3 linked regions of the Arabidopsis thaliana genome follow. The protein of the gene in region 1 interacts with the protein of each later gene in a biochemical or structural test. Each region holds a gene or a part of one and is shown in the gene's direction. Other genes may lie near its edges. The genes, in order: AT5G62710, AT4G20790 and AT3G03770.

What was found.
Region 2: the proteins of AT5G62710 (region 1) and AT4G20790 form a complex in vitro, tested with the Arabidopsis thaliana proteins (one large-scale study listed by BioGRID).
Region 3: the proteins of AT5G62710 (region 1) and AT3G03770 form a complex in vitro, tested with the Arabidopsis thaliana proteins (one large-scale study listed by BioGRID).

Annotation. Positions count from the first base shown.
Region 1 is NC_003076.8:25,185,349-25,191,322, forward strand, and holds AT5G62710 (Leucine-rich repeat protein kinase family protein), read left to right. Parts: upstream 1-1,872; 5' UTR 1,873-2,089; coding exon 2,090-2,171; intron 2,172-2,247; coding exon 2,248-2,383; intron 2,384-2,471; coding exon 2,472-2,543; intron 2,544-2,626; coding exon 2,627-2,698; intron 2,699-2,783; coding exon 2,784-2,855; intron 2,856-2,940; coding exon 2,941-3,012; intron 3,013-3,095; coding exon 3,096-3,167; intron 3,168-3,295; coding exon 3,296-3,402; intron 3,403-3,493; coding exon 3,494-3,670; intron 3,671-3,764; coding exon 3,765-4,097; intron 4,098-4,182; coding exon 4,183-4,437; intron 4,438-4,520; coding exon 4,521-4,654; intron 4,655-4,746; coding exon 4,747-4,977; 3' UTR 4,978-5,374; downstream 5,375-5,974. Other genes in the region: TUB3 (tubulin beta chain 3), read left to right, coding at 390-1,078.
Region 2 is NC_003075.7:11,134,202-11,138,009, reverse strand, and holds AT4G20790 (Leucine-rich repeat protein kinase family protein), read left to right. Parts: upstream 1-1,586; coding exon 1,587-2,844; intron 2,845-2,936; coding exon 2,937-3,235; downstream 3,236-3,808.
Region 3 is NC_003074.8:944,451-951,138, reverse strand, and holds AT3G03770 (Leucine-rich repeat protein kinase family protein), read left to right. Parts: upstream 1-1,900; 5' UTR 1,901-2,260; exon of another isoform or gene 2,261-2,343; 5' UTR 2,344-2,435; intron 2,436-2,636; 5' UTR 2,637-2,702; coding exon 2,703-4,038; intron 4,039-4,132; coding exon 4,133-4,266; intron 4,267-4,359; coding exon 4,360-4,600; intron 4,601-4,696; coding exon 4,697-4,902; intron 4,903-4,975; coding exon 4,976-5,019; intron 5,020-5,187; coding exon 5,188-5,299; intron 5,300-5,378; coding exon 5,379-5,691; intron 5,692-5,813; coding exon 5,814-5,836; 3' UTR 5,837-6,062; downstream 6,063-6,688. Other genes in the region: LBD20 (LOB domain-containing protein 20), read right to left, coding at 6,466-6,688.

The DNA of each region.
Region 1 (5,974 bases):
ATTGGTATCAAATTCAGATCTGCAAGTTTTCTCTATATATAACTTACTGTTTTGTCACTGTTTCTAGTGGTTTGTTCATGTCTATATCCTCTTGTCTTGTGTGCTATTGGTTTATCAATGTTGAGCTCATCACTATAAATCCTTAAGCTGCTCTTTAATCTTATTGGAACAAAACTTTCCGGTGAAGCTGCAAGTACTTTCTAGTTTAATCTTATATGTTGCTTGCTGTTACATATGGGATATGAATTCATTGATGACTATCGATTTGTGAAAGTATACTGTCTTCTTTATAATATACTTGTTTCTGCAAGATATGTTGCTATGCTCATCATGTTGTTTGTTGTATGTGTCTATATGGCTTACATACTTGGTTCATTCTCTGTGTGCAGTTGGTGATTTGAACCATTTGATATCTGCCACTATGTCTGGTGTGACTTGCTGTCTGAGGTTCCCTGGTCAACTCAACTCTGACCTCCGTAAGCTTGCTGTGAATCTCATCCCATTCCCTCGTCTTCACTTCTTCATGGTTGGTTTTGCTCCTCTCACCTCAAGAGGTTCACAGCAGTACCGCTCCCTCACAGTCCCTGAGCTCACCCAGCAAATGTGGGACTCCAAGAACATGATGTGTGCTGCAGACCCAAGGCACGGACGCTACCTCACAGCCTCTGCCATGTTCCGTGGCAAGATGAGCACAAAGGAAGTTGACGAGCAGATGCTGAATGTTCAGAACAAGAACTCGTCCTACTTTGTGGAGTGGATCCCCAACAACGTGAAATCAACAGTCTGTGATATCCCACCTACTGGTCTGAAGATGGCTTCCACTTTCATTGGAAACTCAACATCGATCCAAGAGATGTTCAGGCGAGTGAGTGAGCAGTTCACAGCTATGTTCAGGAGGAAGGCTTTCTTGCATTGGTACACAGGTGAGGGAATGGACGAGATGGAGTTCACAGAAGCAGAGAGCAACATGAACGATCTTGTGTCAGAGTACCAGCAATACCAAGATGCAACGGCTGATGAAGAAGGTGACTACGAGGATGAGGAAGAAGGTGAATACCAACAGGAAGAAGAGTACTGAGAGTAATTTAGTTATAAAAACCGCTTGAAAAAATCAATTTAGTCGTTTGCTACTTTTTTTCTTAAAAAAAAAAATGAGAACCTCAACTACCAGTTGCAGGTTTATTTCTATGCTTGTATTTGACTTATCTGGATGATGTTTATGTACTTTGTTTTTAAATTTGGTTCGGTCTTTAGTTTGAATCTTCGTTTAAGCTATTATTGACTGTATTGTTCCTAATCTCGTTAAAGACTTTGGGCTTATGATTGACTAACCTTTGGGCTTATGATTGACTAACCTTTGGGCTTTGGATTTCTTCATTTATTTTTAAGAGCTCGGCCCATTTTCGTGGTGACTAAATTACACTCTTCGAGATAAAACAGATAAGAAATTTACTTTTGATGTAATAAATATTGTTGCTACGAAGTATTTTACTTTTGGAAATAAATAGGGACGACATTAGTGTTAATACTCTTGTAAATTTTGTCAGATTACACATTATTTTACAGATCTCTCAGACAAAGTAAATACAAAAACGACACAGTTTCGTAACTTTCACTCGCGTCTCAAGTACAATCTCTAAATTACTCGCTTTCTGTGAAAGACACGTGTATTTTGTGACTTAAATAACAGCGAGTAGATTTTAGAACCATAGTCGCGAGTGTTTTTATAGGCACAGATATATTTGAATTATGTCTCCTCGCAACGGGTCGCTCTCTCTCTCTCCTCTGCACCAGTCTCCAAGGGTACAGATTTTGAAAAACCACTCCTTTCACTTAGCTCGAAAAGAAGAGGGAAAAACAAAATAATAAAACCAAAAAAATGATAAATTAAAGAATTCTTTTTAGGAAAAACAAAAGTAAAGATTTTTCATCATGAGTCTTCCTCCTCTTACTCATACGGTCATACCCAATCACTACTAACCTCTCTCCATTCTCGAATTAGGTCACTCTATTTGGGTTGAAAAAATCTCATATTTTCGTCTTTGGAACCTTAAGAACTTTCTCTTTTGGAATCGGTGGAATCAGTGAAATGGGTATCTCGAATTGGGTTTTCTCTGTAATTTCTGTAGCTACCCTTTTTGTCTCCTGCTCCTTTGCTCTCACTCTTGATGGTTAGTCAAAACCCACTTTACTCATAAATCTTTGCTTTTTTGGTTGGTGAGAAATCTGAGATTTTGATGTTTGTAGGATTTGCTCTATTGGAATTGAAGAGTGGATTTAATGATACGAGGAACTCACTAGAGAACTGGAAAGATTCAGATGAGTCTCCTTGTTCTTGGACTGGTGTCTCCTGTAATCCTCAAGACCAAAGAGTTGTTTCTATGTAAAAATATGCTCTTCTTCGTTGATAAAGTCTCAATCTTTCGATTATTTCTTTACCTGATTATGTTCTTCTTATGTGGATTATGCAGAAACTTACCATATATGCAATTAGGAGGGATAATATCTCCTAGCATTGGGAAGCTTAGTCGATTGCAGAGACTGTGAGTAGTAGATTTGGCTCTTATGCTAAATTTTGGTCTCTTTAAGTAGTTTGTTTAATTCAAGTTTGGTGGGAGTTATGTAGGGCACTTCATCAGAATAGCTTACATGGGAACATTCCTAATGAAATCACCAACTGCACTGAGCTAAGAGCTATGTAAGCCAGAATTTTGCAATTGGGAATATCAAGCCTTTGGTTAGTGTTGAGCCATAAATATATATCTGGTTAAACATGCTTTCAGGTACTTGAGGGCGAATTTTCTCCAAGGCGGGATTCCACCGGATTTAGGCAACCTTACATTTCTTACTATATTGTAAGATTCAATTTTTTTTTTTTTTTTTTACTTCTTTTCCAATATGATCATTTTCAAGAATTTCTGATGTTTGGGATATCTTCAGGGATCTATCAAGCAATACACTCAAGGGTGCTATTCCTTCTTCAATTAGTCGATTGACGCGGTTACGCTCCTTGTAAGTTACAAACAGAATCTCGTGTTTAGATGTAGTTGTGCAAGATGTGTCAGTTTAATGTATTTACTCTTTGTTTGATTCAGGAACTTGTCAACCAACTTTTTCTCTGGTGAAATACCGGATATTGGAGTTCTCAGCAGATTCGGGGTCGAAACGTGAGATTTCTCTTCTATATAATTATAACTAGTTGTTTGAACATCATCAAGAACTTAAGAAAAACTTTCTTGCTTATGTTAGACTAGGATGTTATTTTCTGATAGTTGTTTTCTGTCTTTATGGTTAGTTTCACTGGTAATTTGGATCTCTGTGGCCGGCAAATTCGCAAGCCATGTAGATCATCAATGGGTTTCCCTGTTGTTCTTCCTCATGCAGAAAGTGCTGATGAATCAGGCAAGATCTTATTATTAAAGCCAATCATCACGTCTTGAGGCTCCTTGACTAAACTTTCTGATTCTTGATTTCTCTTTTGCAATCCACACAGATTCTCCAAAGCGATCATCACGCTTGATTAAAGGAATCTTGATCGGCGCAATGTCTACAATGGCTCTTGCATTCATCGTGATCTTTGTTTTCCTATGGATTTGGATGCTCTCAAAGAAGGAAAGAAAAGTAAAGAAGTACACAGAAGTCAAGAAACAAAAGGATCCATCCGAAACAAGTATAACATTTGCATAAAAGAGAAAAACTAGTTTTCTTTTCTTCCTGCTTATCATTTTTCTAAATTCCGTTTCTTCATTTGTCTTTAAAAAAAGGTAAAAAGCTGATTACTTTCCATGGTGATCTTCCATACTCTTCAACTGAGCTGATTGAGAAGCTAGAGTCTCTTGACGAGGAAGACATTGTGGGTTCGGGAGGATTTGGCACGGTTTATCGAATGGTTATGAACGATCTTGGAACCTTTGCGGTTAAAAAGATAGATAGGAGTCGACAAGGATCAGACCGAGTTTTTGAGCGAGAAGTAGAGATTTTAGGTAGTGTCAAACACATCAATCTAGTGAACCTACGTGGATACTGCCGTTTACCATCTTCAAGACTTCTCATCTATGATTATCTAACCTTAGGAAGCTTAGACGATCTTCTTCACGGTAAATACAGTTATACATAGTTTATCTTCATTTTGGTCTGTGATGCGTCATATTAATCTATTTTTTGGTTTCTTTATCTATCAAGAACGAGCTCAAGAAGACGGTTTGTTGAACTGGAATGCTCGGTTGAAAATTGCGCTAGGTTCCGCGAGGGGTCTTGCTTATCTACACCATGATTGTAGTCCCAAAATTGTTCACCGTGACATAAAATCGAGCAATATTCTACTCAATGATAAACTAGAACCTCGAGTCTCGGACTTTGGTCTTGCAAAGCTTCTTGTTGACGAAGATGCTCATGTTACCACCGTGGTAGCTGGCACCTTTGGCTATCTTGCTCCAGGTTCTCTTCTTTGCTAACTTCTTTTTTGAATCTTGGACAATAATTTTTAAAGTTTCTAACTCTTTGATGAATCTTGGAAACAGAGTATCTGCAAAATGGGAGAGCGACGGAGAAGTCTGATGTGTACAGCTTTGGAGTTCTTCTCCTTGAGCTCGTTACCGGAAAAAGACCAACAGACCCGATATTCGTTAAAAGAGGCTTGAACGTCGTCGGATGGGTAAGAAGACACCTCAAATCTTGTCTCCGAGAAGAAACGTTCTGTTTTTACTTCCTAAGATTTGGGTTCTAATAAAGTGTTATTTCTCTCAGATGAACACTGTGTTGAAAGAGAATCGATTAGAGGATGTAATAGACAAGAGATGCACCGATGTCGACGAAGAGTCTGTTGAGGCATTGCTCGAGATAGCTGAGAGATGTACAGATGCTAACCCGGAGAACAGGCCGGCTATGAACCAGGTGGCTCAGTTGCTTGAGCAAGAAGTCATGTCACCTTCTTCTGGTATCGATTACTACGATGATTCTCATTCTGATTACTGTTAGGGACTTATGCACGGCTAAAAGTAACCAGGAGATCATTAGCCTGCGACGGTTTTGTTGTTGTTGCTGCTGCGTTATGAATGTTGTGATTTAGGAGCGAGGGATTTGTTTGTATATTAGATATGAAGGTGGAGTCAAGATTATTGAGCGTGCACTGTTCTTGTGCACTTTATATTTTTGCAACAAAATGATCGATGTTATTGCGTATGCATTGTACTATGACTCTTTCAAAGGGAAGACACACATACGAATTATCGATGTTAATGTCGTTAGGCTTCTTTCTTACGTTTTGTAGCGTACATTGCTTAGCTCTACTAAAGCTGGTCCTATGTTTTACAAACCTGAAAGTAGAAGACTCTCAATGCACAAACGTTGCTACAAAACTTTCATCTTTCTGAATAATTAGCTATTTTTATTTATGAAAGTGTTATTTCTCTATAAATCTTATAATTTGGAAACTGATATTAAAAAAAAAACATCTTCTTTTTATAGTTACAAACAAGTTTTTTTTTTTTTTTTTTTCTGTCAAAGACTTGAGAGTTGATAAAAAAAAGAGTTGATAATTTCTTGATTTTTCTTCTGGAACATTTTAATATTATCTTCTGAATAATCAAATGACCTTTCGTTTAATGGAAGAGACTTCGACCATCATCAAAACCCCATCCACCTCTTAAAAGGCCAACGCTTTTCTGCCCTATGTGCTTTGCTAGTTTCCTACACGTACGTATATATCTATAAAATCATTTTTCATATATATATGGTTTAATGCATCCATAGTTTATACATATTTTATATTTAAACCCTACCCTATACGATACACTATATACATATATCGTATAGTAGTAATTGATTATATAAAATTTTACATAGATGTACAAGAGCATTGATATCGATAGAAGTTAGAACCTTTTGAAGATATTCGTAACTCTTGAAAAATTCGATTCTTAGTGACATAGTGAGCAATAACTACAGATTATGGAGATTAATTTGAATTTTAGTC
Region 2 (3,808 bases), on another chromosome or scaffold:
GGATTCATCGTCCCCTGAAAAAACGAAAACAGAGTCATCGTCTCCATCGTTATTTGTTGGCCGTACACTCAATTTCATAAACTGTAAAGCTTCTTATGATAACTCATACCTTCCATCTCGACAGATTTTGACAATGTGTGTATGATTTTCGAAGTGACGAGGGTTTATCTTCTTTTGACAATGACGACTTCAGAGAAGATGTCGACGACGAGAGAAGTTTATGTTCAACGAGGGTTTAGGAGATAAGTTTATGTTTGGTTTCAATGTCTTGAGGACAAATGGGTTTGAGTTTTGTGATATTAGCCCATGACAAATCTTGAATTTTGAATGATATTGGGCTGGTTTGAATTTGGCCCATTAGTTTTCATCAAAACACAAGAGGGGTAAAACGGTCTTTGACTATTTGCTGTATTAGAGGAGGGCTGTATTAGAGAGGACAGAAGAAACTACCCTATCAGCCTATTTTTAAAAAAACTGTCTAGTTCTCAAATTATTTCCCTAAAAACTGCCTAGTTCTCAACTTATCTCAAATGACTATTCCTCTCACTTTTTGAGTTAGTGCTCATGGAAGTAGCATTTAGCTTCTGTTGAATTCACCTTTTAATGCGTTGCATTAGTGTAAAATTCTCTAACAATTAAGAAGCCTGAGTAAGTTTGCAATAAATTTTATTTTCTTTATCAAAAGTTTACCTTTTAGCTCCTGTTGAATTTCCATTTTTTTAAAGATTCATTAAGACAATAACTATTATTTTTATATATTTTTATTATTCTTAATTAAGAAAATACAAAAAATTATAAAATATGTTAATAACAAAATAATAAACAATACAACATAGGAAACTATACCAATTAAAGAAATTAAATGCATATAGATTAGATGAATAAAAATAGAAATGTAGAAAATTAAAAATTATATATATGATTCTATAAATCTAAATTTTAAATTAGGCATATTAATTTGGTAAAATTGCAGAAATATAAAGTTCATTGGATATAAAGTGAAACTATTGAAGATTTTATTGATAGTAGTTTATATAATTCAATTCAATTCTCAAACAAAAATTATATTTAACATTGAGCACATTTACCAAATAATTATCGACTCAAATTCACCCACGTAGATGTTTGTTGCGCAAGAAAGAGAAAAAGTTTAGAACAAGATAAATAGACCAAAGAGACAAGAAATATATGAAAGGAATTCGAGGCACAATCTTACAAATACAAGCAAAACCATTCTAGATAATTTTTTACCAACTGACATAAACACATTATTATGTGTTCAATGACAACGAAAATGATAATTAAACATTGAAATTTGTTTTCATAGTGGAGCTATTGTAAAAAGTGTAGATATTCACAAAATTTAAAAAACTTCACAATTATTATTATTTTAATAATCTTCAACTTCCAAGCACACGATCACTAAAAGGAAAATGGGCGCGTAAATCTCATCCCACTCTGTTTCAAAATAACCGCCAACAACAACAACACCTCCAATAACACAGAAACTACCTCTCTGCTTCTCTCTCTAATCTCACCCATACACGAAACCAAATAACGAAACCTATTTGCTCTCTATCTCTCCAATGGCGTCTTCTCTGTTCTTCATCTTCTTCCTCACGTCACTACTATCATCCTATCTTCCTCTCTCAGTATTCTCCGCAACCGTCGTCGAAGACCTCGCTAATCTAAGTCCACCTCCTGATTTCAACACCACTATTTCCAACAACTGTCTTCGTGATCCAATGCTCCGTTACTGCAACAACACTTCCTCTTCTCCAATGGACATTGTCGAGATTTTCAGATCCACAATCGTCGCTAGTCATCTCTGTAACGAGTCCAAAAACCCTAACTGCGTTGAATCTTTCCCTAGAATCAGAATTCACGGTCGTCCTAAAACCGCTGCTCTTTACCTCTCTTTCGATTTCTTCTGGAAGTACTGTCCTTTAACCGTCGTTGATATCGAGTTAGTGAATAACTCTCTAACGAATGGTTTTCCGACAAATGTTCTGTCTTGTGCTCAGATTCGTACTCTTGATCTGAGTTACAACCAATTCTCTGGTTTTGTTCCGGTTCAAGATCTCTCAGGCTTACCCAATCTGACCCATTTGAACCTATCGTATAACCGATTCTCCGAGAATAAGATCTCGGATTCTGAGTTCTTCAAACGGTTTAACGCCTCTAGTTTCATACAGTCCGGTGTTCTTCCCAACGTGAAGCGTTACAAGATGAAAGTTTTGGTCTTGTTGATTGTTTTTCCAATAATGGTGATTTTGCTCTGTTTTTGCTTTGGCTGGTTATGTGTCAAGAGACCTGATTACTTACCAAGAACATGCCGGAGAAGAAACAAGTTCACATTCGCGATGCTTGAAGCAGCAACGGATGAGTTTTCAGATCAACATCTTGTGAGCATGAGCAATACAGTGGATATCTACAAAGGAACGTTAAGAGACGGGACAGAGACGAAGATCGAGGTTTATAAAGAGAAGGTTTCGAGTGAGAAAAGGCGTGAATTCGCAGAGGTATGCGAGATGGTTTTTAAGTTACGACACAAGAACTTGGTAAGAGTGTTGGGTTGGTGTAATAGTAGAAACATGAGAGCTTTGGTTACAGAATGGATTCAAGGTGAAAATGTTGAGACTTGGTTAAGTTCGTCAATGGCTTTATCATGGAGAAGAAGGTTAAGAGTAGTTCTAGGAGTTGTAGAAGGTATTTGTTATCTATCAGATCAATGGCCAGAGATTACATTTGATCTCACCACAAGCAGTGTTTTGTTATCCGATGATAATCAAGAACCTTTGATTTCTCATTTCAAGATTGGAGATAGAAACAACTTGTCAACAAGTAAGGCTTCATCTTCTTCTTGCAAAAATCAAAACCTTTTTAAGGCTATAAAAGCTAAGTCTGTTGTTGTTGTTGTTGTTGTGTTATTACAGATATATTCAACTTTGGATTGTTTTTTGTGGAGATGATTACAAATCTAAGACCTGATTTGGGACAAGAAGATTCAGAAAGAAGGTATCTTGAGTATATAAGAGTTCATTATCCGGATAATCTAGAGAGAGTGATTGATGAGAAGATGAAGATTGAGGGGAGAACATTTGATCAAGTTAAGCAAGCCATTACGCTAGGACTGATGTGTACTGATATAATACCACCATTAAAGCAACCAAGCTTGACGCAGATTTATGACTTGGTGAGTTCATTGTATGAGTCTAGTTCACGACATCATTGAAATACCTTGTAAAGCTTTATTGGTTTCTTTTGATTTTCAGACATCTGGTGTTAGATAGTATTGTAAGGATTAAAGACATATTTGTGTGTTTTTTCTTTGATTACTATAAGTACTGAGAGAATTTGCAGAAAATGAGTACTTAATTTGCAGACATGAAATCTGTAAATGGGCTTCATTTCTGCAAATGGGCTTTATTAGCTGAAATGGGTTTCATAGTTTTATGGGTTCTCAAATGACCCGACCCGGGTTGGAAGATATAGAAACTATACACTGGTTGGCAAATGGGAACGTTCGATTAAAAATTCGGTAACTACTACGACGTGACTTGTCTCTTCTCCGTTGAAAAGCCATCGACAGTTATGTATGAGTGTATCATTTATCAACTTGAAAGCAATTTCAGTTTTTAAAATAATCCAAATACTAATAAACCAGAAATTAACCCATCATCAAAGCATTAATAATCTTCATTACCATTTGAAACCGAAACTTGTATCACAATTAAATAACGATCATAAAATTAGACGTTTTTTTTTCTCTATCTCCATTTTCCCGGGGGAAAAAAGATCGGATTTT
Region 3 (6,688 bases), on another chromosome or scaffold:
TATTACACCGCAAGACGAAAATGACACACACACACACACTCCTCTAGGCTCTAACGTACGTCTTAATTAAGTATTTGCTTTCGCTTTCTACAAATCACTTTAATGTAGTGTATATATATTTATGTGATAAAAACAGAATAATGTAACATATGAATGCATGATAGTAATCAAGAAAAAAACATAAAATAGTCGTATAAATGTATTTCTATGAAATAATCTCAAATTACTTCACTTAGCCAATAAATTTTCATAATATATTAATTTTATAGTTGCCAGTCGATCAATTTTCACTACCAGTTAAAATAGTCGTATAAATGTATTTCTAGCCGTTATTAATTTTCTTTTCGTCTACCAAATTAAAGATCAATCTTTTTTTGTTAAGGAAAAAGAAATCGAAATTGGAAATTACCACGTTCTATTTCGTATTGTTTAAAGTTGGCTAGTCGATTATAAGCTGCACCAACAATTTTTAGTTTTATTTAAACTATGATTGTATACGACGACATTGACTATTGAGACATGCAACCAACAGATACAAAACAAAACTAACCAAAAAATGAAACACGCAAAATGAAGGAAAAAAATAAGATAAATTAAAATTAAATATTTATTCCTAAACGATGCACAGAAAAATCTAACAGAAGAAGATGCTTATATAAAACCAGGTGGACTAAAATTTCACAGAATTTTGTTTTCTTATGTTTGTAAGCATTTACTTTACTTGTTTTCTTATACCTGCAACTATGAATCATATTAAAAAAAACTACAAGATTAATAAAAAGATGAATCACTCATGGCACGTGAGAGTAGTCAAGAGATTAAGACATCATGCCTTAGTTTCAATTTAATATGATTAAATACACGAGTTTAGTTTAAATTGTTTGTTAATTTGATTTCCAATTCCTTGCATGTTATTCTTTATTGATCATATTATATGTGAGCTAATTTGTTGTATTAAGATTGTTTTCTTGAACTTTGAAAAGGTCGGAGAAGATTGGGACCTACATGTGTCACTTTAAAAGTCTGGTGTGACCTTTCTGATGGAGATGCCTTCGTGCGAAAGCTTACATTACAGTATGTGTCACAACTTCGCTTTCTTTTTATTTTCACCTTAAATATATATATTACCTCTTTCAGATTTAAGTTTTTGGATGGATCTTTTTTTTTTCTTTCAGTTTGGTTTTAAGCCTAGTTTTTGATAAAATTCCGGTGTAGTTGTTGTGGTTTTTATGTTTAGTTTGTTTTCAGCTTTCTTACATGATCAAAATTCAAAACAAAATTAGAGTTACACTAATTTACTTGGTTTTGTTTACTCATTCTTGATTAATCTTGTTTAACTTAGCATACCCAATTAATTGATAGACAGACTTTTCTCAATCAAATTAATATTCATATAAGAAACTTTAAAAAAATATCAAAATTAAATCTATACTATATAAAGACTTGTTTGCCTCAGACTCGTATTTGTAGATCATCCCCCTAAAGGCCTAAACCCTAAAAGAATATTTCTCTTATCATTACCTTTTTATCTTTCTTTTTTTTTTTGTCTTTTTACTTTTTCTTGGCCACAGCTTTGGCTGGAGTGGATTTCTCTTTGGTCCCTATTTTTTTGAAAGTGATAATATAATATGAACATATTTAATGCTGATAAAATAATTTACTTTGTGTACTGTATAAATAGTGAGACAACCAAAAATAAAAAGATCAGAAAAAAACGTCGGCCAGACCCTGTTGGATTCGCTTTTTTTTTTTTCTTTTTTAATTTGTTAAAAATGCATGTGAACACTTACAAGATTATTTTTTGGACAAAAAAATTCTATTTCTATTTTGTTTGTTTGTTTTAAAATTATTTTTGTAAAAAGAATTTATCGTTGTCTTCATCTCGTGATGGAGACTTAGAGAGGAGGACCAAACTCTCTGTCGTTAGCCACTGACAATTTACTAAATCGTATGGTTGCTAAAATGTTTTTGCATTGATTTTACAGAATTTGTTTTTGTTTATTGTCTATTTAAAAAATAAAAAAAGTTTGTTGGGTTAATATTGTTCCCAGAGTATCCTCTGTTTTATTCTTATAAGATATAATAATCACTCGTGAAGGAATCTTGAATGTTTTTAAAGCTCCTTGAGGAACTTTCATCTCTTACAGAGGATTTTCTTGGGAACTTTTCTCACTTTCTTCTTTAAATCAAGTTGCTACTTTTTTTGTTTCTTTAGATAAAATCGATATTCCATTCACAGTTACTTCATAAGTTTGCAGAGGTATTTCTTCATCTCAAAGGAAACGATTTGTCTTTTCATTTTCTCATTCTTCTTACTCTGATGAAACCAAATTTTGTTTCCAGGAAAAATAAAATTTAATCTCTTGTGCTCAAAAGTTTCCTGCATCTTTTCTTCTTGCAAGGTGTCTTAAAGAGGAGATTCTGTAACACATGTGGTGAGTTCTTCCTGTTTTTCTGGAATTCACATGCAAAAATCATATTTTTTTAGTTTGAAGATTGATTTCTAAGATTCTCTTCTGTTTAATGCATTAACGAGAAAGTGGTTAAAATATCAAGATCTTGAGAGTGGACCCTGTTTTGTAAGTACATTATATATAAATGTGATTCTTGAATGAAATGTGTCTCTCTCTTTGCAGGTTTTGATGATGATGCTTATATGATTTTATTTAGTAGTTGTGTGTGTTTTATGGTCTTGTGTGGCTATGGAGAAACTCTATTGTGGCATGCCGTTACTGCTTCTGGTTCTGCTTTTAGCTTCCATTGATGGCTCTACACAGCTACAATCATCTCAATCTCAAACCCTCTTGAGGCTGCAACAGCTTCTCTACTATCCCAAAGTGTTAAACAGCTGGAACAACTATACAGATTTCTGCAATTCTGAGCCAAGCCCTTCGCTAACCGTTGTGTGTTATGAAGATAGTGTAACGCAGCTTCACATTATAGGAGACAATGGAACTCATATGTTACCAAAGAGTTTCTCAATAAACTCGTTTGTTACTACTCTTGTTAAGCTCCCTGATGTTAAAGTTCTCACGTTTGTGTCCCTTGGGTTATGGGGTTGGTTACCTCAGAAAATCAACCGTTTATCCTCTTTGGAGATTCTCAATGTGAGTTCCAATTTCCTCTTTGGACCAATCCCTCATGAACTCTCGTCGCTTGCTACTCTTCAGACGCTTATACTCGACGAGAATATGTTTTCTGGTGAGTTACCGGATTGGATTGATTCTTTGCCGAGTTTAGCTGTGTTGAGCTTGAGAAAGAACGTGCTTAATGGGTCATTGCCTTCTTCTTTGAGTAGCTTGTCAGGTCTTAGAGTTCTTGCTTTAGCTAATAACCGGTTTAATGGAGCTTTGCCTGATTTAAGCCATTTGACAAACCTTCAAGTGCTTGATCTTGAAGGAAACTCTTTTGGACCGTTGTTTCCTCGGTTAAGTAACAAGCTGGTTACTCTTATACTCAGCAAGAACAAGTTTAGATCTGCAGTTTCAGCTGAAGAAGTAAGTTCTCTGTATCAGCTTCAACATTTGGATCTTTCCTACAATACATTCGTTGGTCCATTTCCTACTTCCTTGATGTCTCTTCCCGCGATAACTTACTTGAACATTTCACACAACAAACTCACCGGGCGGCTTTCAGCAAATCTTTCTTGCAACTCACAGCTGATGTTTGTAGATATGTCATCAAATCTTCTTACCGGAAGTTTGCCTACTTGCCTTAAACCGAGTTCCGGCACTAGCAGAGATGTTGTCTATGCAAGCAACTGTTTGGCTACTACGAATGAAGATCAACGTCCAGTTTCTTTTTGTAGTAATGAAGCTCTTGCTGTTGGAATCCTACCACAGAGGAGGAACAAAGTTTCCAAAGTGGGTATTGCTTTAGGTGTAACCGCAAGCATTCTCGGGGTACTTCTCCTCGCCGGTGCCTTATTTGTGGTTCTTAGGAGATTAAATGCTAAGAAAACAGTGACGAAATCTTCCCCAAGATTGATTAGAGAGAATGCTTCAATGGGGTACACATCGAAACTACTATCAGATGCAAGTAAGAGGATAAAATATCTCTCACATATTGTCACATAGATTACATAGAACTTGTCTTCATTGATAACTTGTGCTGTAACTGCAATACTTTGAAGGGTATATCTCTCAAACAATGAAGCTAGGAGGGCTCGGTCTTCCAGCTTACAGGACATTCTCACTGGAGGAGCTCGAGTATGCAACAAATAACTTTGAATCCTCTGCTTTCATGGGTGAAGGTTCTCAAGGACAGGTACAGCAGTGAAGCTTCAATCTTTCTTTAGCTAGTTTCCATTTTTTGAACAGTTGAATCAAACAAGATTTTTGTTTTCATTGTTCTTTTCAGATTTATAGAGGGAGATTGAAAGATGGATCCTTTGTGGCAATTAGGTGTCTGAAAATGAAGAAAAGTTGCAGCACACAAAACTTGATGCATCACATTGAGCTCATCGCTAAACTGCGGCACCGTCACTTGGTTAGTGTGCTCGGGCACTGCTTCGAGTGCTACTTGGATGATTCAACAGTCAGCAGAATGTTCTTTGTCTTTGAGTATGTCCCAAATGGAGAACTCAGGACCTGGATTTCTGGTACCACACTGAAACATCATGTGTTTTAAGAATGAAGATGATCATTATATATTTTTTAATAACTAAATCGGATTGTTCTTGTCTCTGCTGTGCTAGATGGGCACATGGGAAGATTGCTTACTTGGGAACAACGCATAAGCGTAGCGATAGGTGTAGCAAAAGGGATCCAGTTCTTGCATACCGGTATTGTGCCTGGTGTTTATGATAACAACCTTAAAATGACAGACATTTTGCTTGACAATAACCTTGCGGCGAAACTCAGTAGCTATAATCTTCCATTGCTTGTGGAAGGTCTTGGAAAGGTAAATGACGATGTCAAAAGTTCGAATGTTTTTGTTTCTTGAATTTTGAATCTCTTTTGCTTTCCTTTCTAAGGTGGGGCAAGTAGGATCTCGGAGCGGACCTAAAGGCACTCCAAGGTGTGTAATAATCTTCTTTACTCTGTTTCTCATCAGCTTGTAAACCCGGTTATATGGTTTAATCCTCTGTTTCTCAAAAGAATCAAAAACGGTTTATATGGTTTAATCCTCTGTTTCTCATCAGCTTGTAAACCGGTTTATATGGTTTAATCCTCTGTTTCTTAACAGCATCAAAGACGAAGATAAAATCGATATCTATGATTTTGGAGTGATATTGCTTGAACTTATAGTGGGAAGACCATTGAGAGCAAAGAGTCAAGTCGATGTTCTAAAAGAGCAGGTAACACCATTCGATATATATGTAGCTTGATGTGGAATCGCTATCATCTACTTTAAAAACTCTTTTTTATTTGTTGTAGTTACAAGCAAGCATTTCAGCGGATGATGGAGCACGTAGGAGCATGGTGGATCCAACGGTCCATAGAGCTTGTTCAGACCAATCACTGAAGACAATGATGGAGATATGTGTAAGGTGTCTCCTTAAAGACCCTTTAGAACGTCCTTCCATTGAAGATGTCCTGTGGAATCTTCAGTTTGCTTCTCAAGTTCAAGAAGGTTGGCTACAAAACAGCAATCCCTCGAGCAATCTCGGCTCGCCTTCTCCTGCTGCTTCCTCTCTTCCTCCTCCCTCTCGTTTACACGTAACAACACTCGAATCTCCCCGAGATTCAGGTATTTTTGAACTCGATCTTTTATGATCAATTGATTCAGTTCAGAATAGAATTTGATTGTTAAAGATTTGAGATTGAATAAGTTTATTGATCTGAGACTTATTTGTGTGGTTGTAATTGCAGGATGTGAAGAACATGAGAGGTAGAGAGACGAGGGTTTTTGTTTGGTCTTGTTCACTGATCACTACTCTTTGGAAAGAACATAACCTTTTTGTTTGTAATTTGATGTTTGTTTTTGTTTTTTTGTCTTTAGTTGTGTTGAGCTTAAACGATCATAACAGTTAATAATATAGTTAATTTTTCTTATAAACTTTACTTAAAAGAACAGTGTCGGTTAATTTTTATTCTTCAAAAGGAATACAAGTCCAACAATGGTGAGATAATTTTGGAAAATTCAATCGTTTTTTCTTCCTGTTTTGTTCAGCGAAAATAAATTAAAATTGTATATAGAAATTGAGATGGAACCGATTTCTAGGGTTTAGAAAAGATTTGCTTGATTGATTCTTCTTGTCCAAGAAATCAAAATAGAGGATAATGGCTGGTGTTGGATCATCAAATCCTTTACTTATTTATTAATTTGGATTCGTATGTAAATTCAGTTAATTCCAACTAGTATGATAATTAACCAATAACTACATGCATATATCTCATTCAAATATTTCACGACAACTCTACATGTATAGTATACGTCTGCTGGATATACTTATTCTCTTTCTCAACATTATTATAAAAACGGAGATATATTTAAATTAAAGACAAACCCTAGGTAATACATTCATCTCCGGTGAAAATCCTCCGCCGGAAATATAACCTTCGAAGCCACCGCCGTCGATCCAACAGCCACCGAAAAATCAGCACCGCTCTCTTCCTCATCCTCATGCTGATAATCTCCTCTCCTTTGCTGATGCGGTGGCATTGGCTGCAACGAATGTTCTAAGTTAGTCGGAGCCATGACGTCATAGCTGACGGCTGCTGCATCTGCCGTCATGGTGAAGCTG